2 linked regions of the Rattus norvegicus genome follow. Each later gene encodes a partner of the first gene's protein in a complex. Links are inferred from orthologs where the notes say so. Each region holds a gene or a part of one and is shown on either strand. Other genes may lie near its edges.

The links. Proteins that work in one complex are often made in the same cells at the same time.
Region 2: the proteins of Nrp1 (region 1) and Plxna4 are in contact, whole or in part, in a cryo-EM structure (PDB 7M0R), measured with the Mus musculus proteins. The link is inferred for Rattus norvegicus from reciprocal best matches to the Homo sapiens genes NRP1 and PLXNA4. Residues at the interface, in NP_032763.2 of Mus musculus: Arg80, Tyr84, Asp126, Tyr127, Glu128; in NP_786926.2 of Mus musculus: Glu272, Lys340, Lys343, Lys345, Leu349.

What each region holds. Positions count from the first base shown.
Region 1 is NC_086037.1:73,403,049-73,406,559, reverse strand, and holds part of Nrp1 (neuropilin-1 precursor), read right to left. Parts: intron 2,553-3,511; coding exon 2,281-2,552; intron 1,849-2,280; coding exon 1,752-1,848; intron 1-1,751. UniProt on the Homo sapiens protein: Cell-surface receptor involved in the development of the cardiovascular system, in angiogenesis, in the formation of certain neuronal circuits and in organogenesis outside the nervous system. Mediates the chemorepulsant activity of semaphorins.
Region 2 is NC_086022.1:62,126,646-62,130,947, forward strand, and holds the start of Plxna4 (plexin-A4 precursor), read right to left. Parts: upstream 2,801-4,302; 5' UTR 1,849-2,800; intron 1-1,848. UniProt on the Homo sapiens protein: Coreceptor for SEMA3A. Necessary for signaling by class 3 semaphorins and subsequent remodeling of the cytoskeleton. Plays a role in axon guidance in the developing nervous system. Class 3 semaphorins bind to a complex composed of a neuropilin and a plexin.

The sequences.
Region 1 (3,511 bases):
TGACTCTTTGAGCTAGTAAACTTCTTCCTGTGATTTATCGAAAATAAATAAAATAAAATTCTATGGAGCCTCAGGATTGGAAACAGTCCTGAGTCCTGTATTCTTCAATTTAAAATCTTGTCTAGCACACAATAACGTTCGTAAACATGTACAAATGAATGGCTCATCTGTGGTTGGCATTAATAGCCCCCCCTGGCTAGGTTGCTCAATGAGATATATTTGGTAAAACAATTATATAATTACTCATATGTGCATGTAAAGGCCAGAAGTTAACACCAAGAGTCATTTTTCAATTTCTTTTCATCTAAATTTTTGAGGCAGGATCTTTCATTGAACCTAGAACTCAGTGAGATTGGCTGGCTCAGGTGCTCAGGGATCTACCTGTAACTTCCTCACAGTGCTGAGATAACATATGTGTGCTACTGTGTTTGGGTTCTAGGAATCCCGGTACCTAGTCTATCTCAGGTCTTCAGCTTGTCTCCCCAGCCCTTTCAGAGCACTCTTTACTGGTATATCTAAGTAGGAAAAAGTTCACAAGACCAATGTCCATATAATTTCCTGTATCACTTAGCACATTGCTTTGTATATAGTACATAGCCAGTTAGGACTTGCTGGCCTGAACTGAGTTTTTTTTTTATTGTTGTTGTTGTTGTTTTTATTTATGGAATTTGTTCTTCTATCCCTGAAACAACTCCTTTTTGGTTTCAGCACTTGGGAGAGGAACACAGTATTACACATACTGTGTTAACTATAGGGGATGCACACTTGAATTGCCAGATAGCCATAGAAATGAGTAATTTACAAAAATAATCTCAGATGAACTATTAAACTATACGAATTTGCAGAGCTGCTGGGTATGGTGGCATTGACAAGGTTTCTTTATGTAGAATGAAAAGCAGAGCATTGTTCACTGTTTTTGCTCCTTCGGTGTCTTCAATTGATGGTATCAAATTATTGCCCCTTTAAGGATTACATATATTCAATGTATTATAATAATAAAAGACTTGTAAGTTGTAGAAAAGACCAAAACCCATTGCAGCCAACTGGCCTCCTTTGTCTTCAATTTGCCCAGCAGGCTTATCCCATTCTGTTATAATTAACAGACTATTATGTAATGATATAGAACAAAAGTTTCAGTGTAGCAAATGGAGCCTAAGACTAATTACTGTGCTATTACATTGTCATTAGCGATGCTATTTGTAATTATGGATCAAGATCTGGGGAATATGAATTGGCTTTCTCTGTCCGACTTTCATCTGTGGATTGTAGAAGGGCCTGACAACCCTGTTAGGCAGATCTCTGAATGGCCATTACCTGCCAAGTCACGTCGGCTAGAGCAGAGCCAGAAGTGGCTACTTATTTATTATGCAATGATGAATGTTGGTATCTGTGACTCATTGACAATGTAATCTTAATTAAATTCTCTGTGATCAACATGTTCGAAGGCCCACTGTTTTGTTTCCATGCTCAGATACCAGAATAGTCCAGATGTCTGAGTGTTCTACTCTCCATCAAAACGTTACCATAGGCCAGATGTGACTTCTAAGCTACAGTCTTTGGATTCTGGAGGTGTCAATCAGACTTTCTAAGTAGCTAGGTAGACAGGAAGTAAGTGAAGAACTGACCTACGTTTAGACCCTTTTATCCTGCATGTGAATTCTGGTCTAAATGACAAGGCAAAGTCTACCATATGCTAAGGATCCTGCCAGGGCTAAGGACTTGGTTCACTTCCAGCTCAAACCCATCCTTACTTGCACAGTCCTCCTGAGGAATGTGGTTGTTAATACTGATATCATCCACAGCAATCCCACCGAGGTTTCCTTTTCCGATTTCACCTTCAAAAATAACCTGAAAAAAAAAAGAGATGGTTTTCATGATATACTAAAGTTCTGTCTTCAGCATCAATGTTCACAAACACTCTCTCGGTGGAAGCTTTAGCATACGTTCATGAGACTGCATGTGAGTTAAATTCATGAGGAGATTGCACAAAGGTTAGTTACCCATTCTTCTCTACCAGTGGCAGAGATGATCCCGACCTCTGCGGTTTTCATAAGATAAACTTTAAAAGGAAAGAAAATATTTGGGCAAAAGGGATGGTATCTGTGATATCTCTGAAACGAGTAAACGTGATTTTTCTTTTCTTTTCCCAGCTGTCATCTAAGAGACAGTAAGATGTCACTAACACAAACATCACAGAGGCAAGAGTTGAGGGTGGTGAATTTCACACAGTAACCCAGTGTCCCAAAGGCTCCAGCGCTCACTTTGTAGAAGGGTTCATACCTGATACAGTTTCAGAGATTTGTGCAGCAAGACACGCCCTTCCTTCCAGTGGTCTCCTTGGTGCCCGACCACCATCCAGACCAGTTGATCATATTCCTCTGGCTTCTGGTAGTGCAGTTTGACCCTCAGTGTACCCACATGAGAGCCGGACATGTGATACCAGAAGGTCATGCAGTGGGCAGAACTCTGGGAATAGACCACAGGGCTCACCAGGCGGGCTACTTTGCCTTTCTGATTTTCATCAGCTTGGGAATAGATGAAGTTGCCATCTCCTGCTGAGGCAAAACTCTGTGTCAGGGAGACCAGCCAAATCTACAGCTCTTTTTTTCTTTCTCCTCTCAAGTAGTACCCATAAAACACATTCTCCTGGGTTGGGTACCAAGGAACCAAGCAGTGGAGAGAGCAGATGCAATTACTGGGAGCCCCATAGGCACTGGTGGCCTTGCTCAAAGAGGCTTTAAAGAGACTCTGGGTACTGTTTACCTGTATCATGGCATCACAGGCTACAAATTTTATCTGTCTTCATACTATCAAACGTAGTGTCTAAGCAGTCTATTTACAGAGTTTGAAGAAAGTGTCTGACTTTAAAATGTTTTTGCATATCCATGTACACTCGGATAACCTGGACTAAGTGAGATGTTGAACACTTTCCTCTTGGAAGGAACCTGCTGACCTGCTGGCTGCTTGATGTGTTATTTTTGCTCTTGCACTTTTCCAATACACATATTTATTATGTATATATGTTTATATTCTTGTGTGTATGCATGTGTATGTGTGTGCGCACACATGTATGCACATGCTTGCTTCTATAGTCAAGTGCATGCATGTGTGTGGGAGCTCATACTATGCTTGTAGAAGATAGAGAACAACTTTGGGTATTTTTCAGGTGCTAGCCACTTTGTTTTTTGAGACAGGGTCTTAACAAGTTACAACTCCAAAAATAGGATAGGCTAGCTAGCCAGAAAACTTCAGGGATATACCTGTCCTTAGAGCTAGGAAAATAAGTGTAAGCCACCACACTGGCTTGTTTGCTTTTGAATTTTAAAAGATTGATTCTAGGGATTGAATTTATATACTTGTGTTTACAAAGCAAGCCCTCCCCAACCCCCCTACCCCATGACTGAGCTACCTCATCAATCCTTAGGCATCTTTAAAAATTGTTTTTATTTTCCCTTTAGTTCACATTAATGGTCTATGGATTTCTCGAGTGTGCCCAAGAGTTTGATTCTCA
Region 2 (4,302 bases), on another chromosome or scaffold:
AAGTGTGTGCATGCCAAAACGTGCCAATGTTTGTCACAGCCCAGAAGTCAGACGTGGACACCCCGTCACCTGTGCTTGTACAAGCTGACTGCACTTGGCAGGGCTCTAAGAATGCCTGTGTACAGCCGGACGTGTACACACCCACCATTCCTAAAAAGAAAATAATGTTTCTTTGCGATCTGCGGTCTCCCCATTGTGAAGAGCTTTCCTTTATTCCGGCTTATACCCTTTTCAGTCAATCAAAGGGCAGCTTACACTACACAACAGGAATTGAGTTTCCCTCCTGGGTCATCTGCTCTCCACCCAAACCTAGCCAAAGACTTGGGGGGTGTGTGAGATCTACTCTCTTATAAAGAGGATAGAAACAATTCCCATTTTTGCCAGGATGCCAAAAACAGCCAACCAACCACAAAATACCACAAAGGGACAGCTATAGGAACATAGAAACTTGCTATATATGTATTCAAGCCTGAAATAATGATTTATTTAAATCTTCTATTCTTCTCCTTGCAAAAATTGAGCCCCAAAGGAAGTCTCTCTTAGACTCTAATAAGGGAGCCATAAAAAAGCCCTTTGGAACTTCAACCACCCTCATCCATTCTAGGAAGTTTCAAAATGAACAGGATCTGAAAGTGGGGTGGTGGAGGCAGGGAGCTCTGGGGAAGTACAACTTAAACCATTGGTTTTTGGAGAGCAATCCTGCACTCAGAGGATCTAGACTCTGGGTTACACTACTAGCCTATCATACTTGGATACACTAGTAGACCAAATACGTTATAAAGTGAATATGGCATATTCACAGTCCTTTCTCTGTTAGTCTAAATCCGTCTCTACTCTCCCTCCTAGTTCGTGTTCTCAGACACACACCCCAAAAGACATGTGACAGGTGTTAACTAAAGGCACAGGGGGAAGTCGCCTCACATGCACAGAGGGTAAGGAAGTGAGGGGTTGGCTGCAAACATGTGCCCCTTAAGCCCTGTCTGCTTGTTGTCTACCAGTGACTGGCAACGCAAATAAGGTCTGATCCTCCTTAAAGGACCGCAGCATCCTCCCTAGACAAGGAACACTCCTCTAGCTTTGATGTCAAAGCCCCTCCCTGCCTGAAATCCCAGCGCATTCCGGGGAAGCAGTGCCACGCTTCGGAAAGGCGTGTGTGCTGCCTTTACCGGGGAATCGCAGAGTCTGTTCCTTATGCGCCGCCCTACAGAACTGCAGCCCCAGTTGCCTATGTGGCCTCCTCCCAGGCGCCCGGTCACCAAGATCTCTAGATCTCTGCCCTTTCAATATCTCTCTGCCTTTCTCCTATTTAAAAAAAAAAAAAAGAAAAGAAAGAAAGGGGAAAAAATCTCCGAGTATTCAAAAAAAGCTAAGGGGACAATTGCACTGGGCGGGTCTCGTAAGACCTCCCATGACTTCTCCTGTCTTATAAAAACCAGTTAGGAAATGAAAGGAACTAGAAACAGCAAAATCGCTCCCTCATGCTACCAGGCTGGATAGGAGAGTCAGTCATTTAACTGAATCCCACCCTGAAAGTCCTGGGGAAGAGAAGTCTAGGTCCGGAAAGGAGAAGAACACGGGAAATCCCTGCTCCGACTGCGATGCACCTACGCGGGTGTCCAGGTGGGACGTGGGCAGGTGCGTGAGCGCAGTGTGTGCATGTGTGTGTGTATGTGTGTGTGCGCGCACGCGATTTGTGTTTTGCGTGTGTGTGTGTGTGTGTGTGTGTGTGTGTGTGTGTGTGTGTGTGTGTAGTGGGCTGCCTCGGAGCAGATGAGGACTCCGGGACCGGACTCGGCACCTCCGCCCGCTCTGCCCAGCTGGCCCTGCGCCCGGCCGGCGGCTCCTTACCTGGAAGCGCGGCGTTTCCCTCCTTCAGCCCCAGCGCCGCATTGACACTGCAGATGGTGCCTGTACCGCTGCCTCTCGCCCTCCTCTGAACGTGTGCGTGTGCGCGCGTGTGGCTGCCTCCTCCAGCCCCAGCCCCGAACGCAAATACTCCACCAAGGCACGGGGAAGCCACGAGCAGCAGAGAAAAACGGAGGGGGCCAAATCAGAGCCTGCCGGGCTTGACAGCTCCTCTTGCAGCGTCCAAGGTGGGCGTAATGTCCAACAAAAAGGTCAGAAAATGTAGATCAATTCCAAGCACCCCTATCCTCCATCCAGCCCCGGAGCCCAAGCAACGACAGCGGTGGCTCTCAGGGGCTGCGGCGGCGACGCGGGGCTGCCCCCCTTCGTCCCCACCCCCGCGGGCTGAATGTCCTTGATGCCAAGCGGGCACGGCGGCGTCACTCCGCGCCGCCCATGCTAGCCGGGTCGGGCCGCTGCCCGGGCGCGGCGGCGAGTACGTTGGGGACCCGCCGGGGAGCGCTCTGCGAGCCTCTGCGCGTCTCCCTGGGCAGTGACGGCCACCCCCTGGCAGCCCAGGGCTGACTGCGCCGCTGTTGCTCCCACCCCTGGCCGGGGACTAGCCGGGCAGTGCCCAGGGGCCGGGGCTGGGGGGCCTCGGAAGCCGCCAGCAGCTCCCTGGGGAGGCGCGGAGCTGCGGTGGTAGCAGCGACGGCGGCGGCTAGCGCTGCGGCGGCCAAGAGTGCGGCCGTGGTCCAAGCCGAGCCTCCCAGGCGCGTCCCCGGCCCCCCGGGCGGACTGCTAGCAAAGTTTGCAGGGGGCAGGGAGCGGGGCCGCCTCTGGCTCGGCCGCCGCCGGAGCTCCCGGGCTGCCTGCTGCCGCCGCGGCTCGCTGCTGCTGTGCATTGAAGCCCGGCCAAGCGCTGCAAAACTCCAGCTGCCTGGCGCTCTCTGGGTCCTCCTCTCCTCCCTCCCGCCCTCCCTGCTTCCCTTCCTCCCTCCCTCTCCTCGCCTCCTCCCCTCCCCGCCGCCCGCGGCCCGCCGCCGCCGCCGCCGCTGCCGCCGCCGCCGCCGCCGCTCCCTCTCTGGCTCGCTAGCTGGCTCGGAGCTCGCGGCTGACATCTAGACCCAGGTAGAGCGGCCGGCAGAGGGGGCAGGGGGCGCTTCCCCGCACGCTGCCGCCACTGGCCTGCCCGGTTTCCCCAACGTGGACTTCTGCAGAAGGGGGTGCCCTGGGTCTTCATGACTTTCTCGAACCACCCTGGCGATGGAGACACAGGGCAGAGTGGTGCATATATGGTGGCACCAAGTGCACTTGGATTGGAGCATACTCCCAAACAGGCATGTGGGTGTAGGTGGTCAGAGGCACTTCTGTGTGTTCCTAACAGACACCAACCAAACATATATCCACTCTCAACCTAGAATCCTCGTCCAACCCCACCAACCAAGGTAATCCTACACAGAGCACTAGAGGATGCCCAAGTCCAAGGTTTCTTCTAGTCCTGGGACAGAAATAAATGGCCAATGCCACAGAGCTTGCTGGGTAACCTGATCTGTCCAGAGCTGACCTTGCTTCTCTAACTCTGAAGCCCTAGGTCCTGGGTCATGTCCCAAACACAACCCAGACATTGCTAACGTCAGAGTACTTTCAGAAGTCAGAAGGAAGAAATCCTGAAGTTGCTTAAGTTGAAACAGCATCTGGCAGGCAGACAGGATACAAGGTACAGGTGAGGACAGGAAGTAGGCAGAACTACTTAGAATATCTCTACAAAGACCTCCCCCCATTAATGGGCCAACCATCAAAACAAATAAATAAAAATAAAACAATTTTTCAAAGGATGCACACCTACTTGTCCACCCAACCTTGTATGCTAAGCTCAAGAAAATGGCACTGTCAGCCATGTCCAGGAAGACTAGCCATTCATCAAAGGAAGACCTTTCAAGACAATGGTTTGGGGTTTCTAACCCACTCTCCCATGCTACTTCTTCAACTTAACTTTCCTCAACCTCAGTAACTTCCTGTGAATAACTGTCCCTCCCAACCAAACCTCTCAGAACCTGCTTATTAGGAGCGTGTTAACTGCGGTATAAATTCCTATATATAGGGGTTATATTTTCACAGAAATCAAAGTTATAAACTGGGTAGATTCTGAAGGGAGCTATGAGATGACAAGGTAGACAAGCCCCGGGGCAGGTAGCACACGTGGGTCGGGTTCGACTTACCCACCCAGGACCTTGTTGAAAGTGCTCTCACCAGAAGGAGGCAATGAATCAAGTGTAAGCATGAAGAAGCCAGACATTTCTCTAGTTAAAGGGTGTTCCAGGAGACAGCATGGAGCCCTGGTGTAGGCTCTGGTTGTTCGCCGAGCATTGTGTGGCCCAGAAAACAGCAAGGGTTATCTCATTAGCTCCCTTTAATACATTGATCTGGCTCCACTCGTCTCTGAAACACTGGATC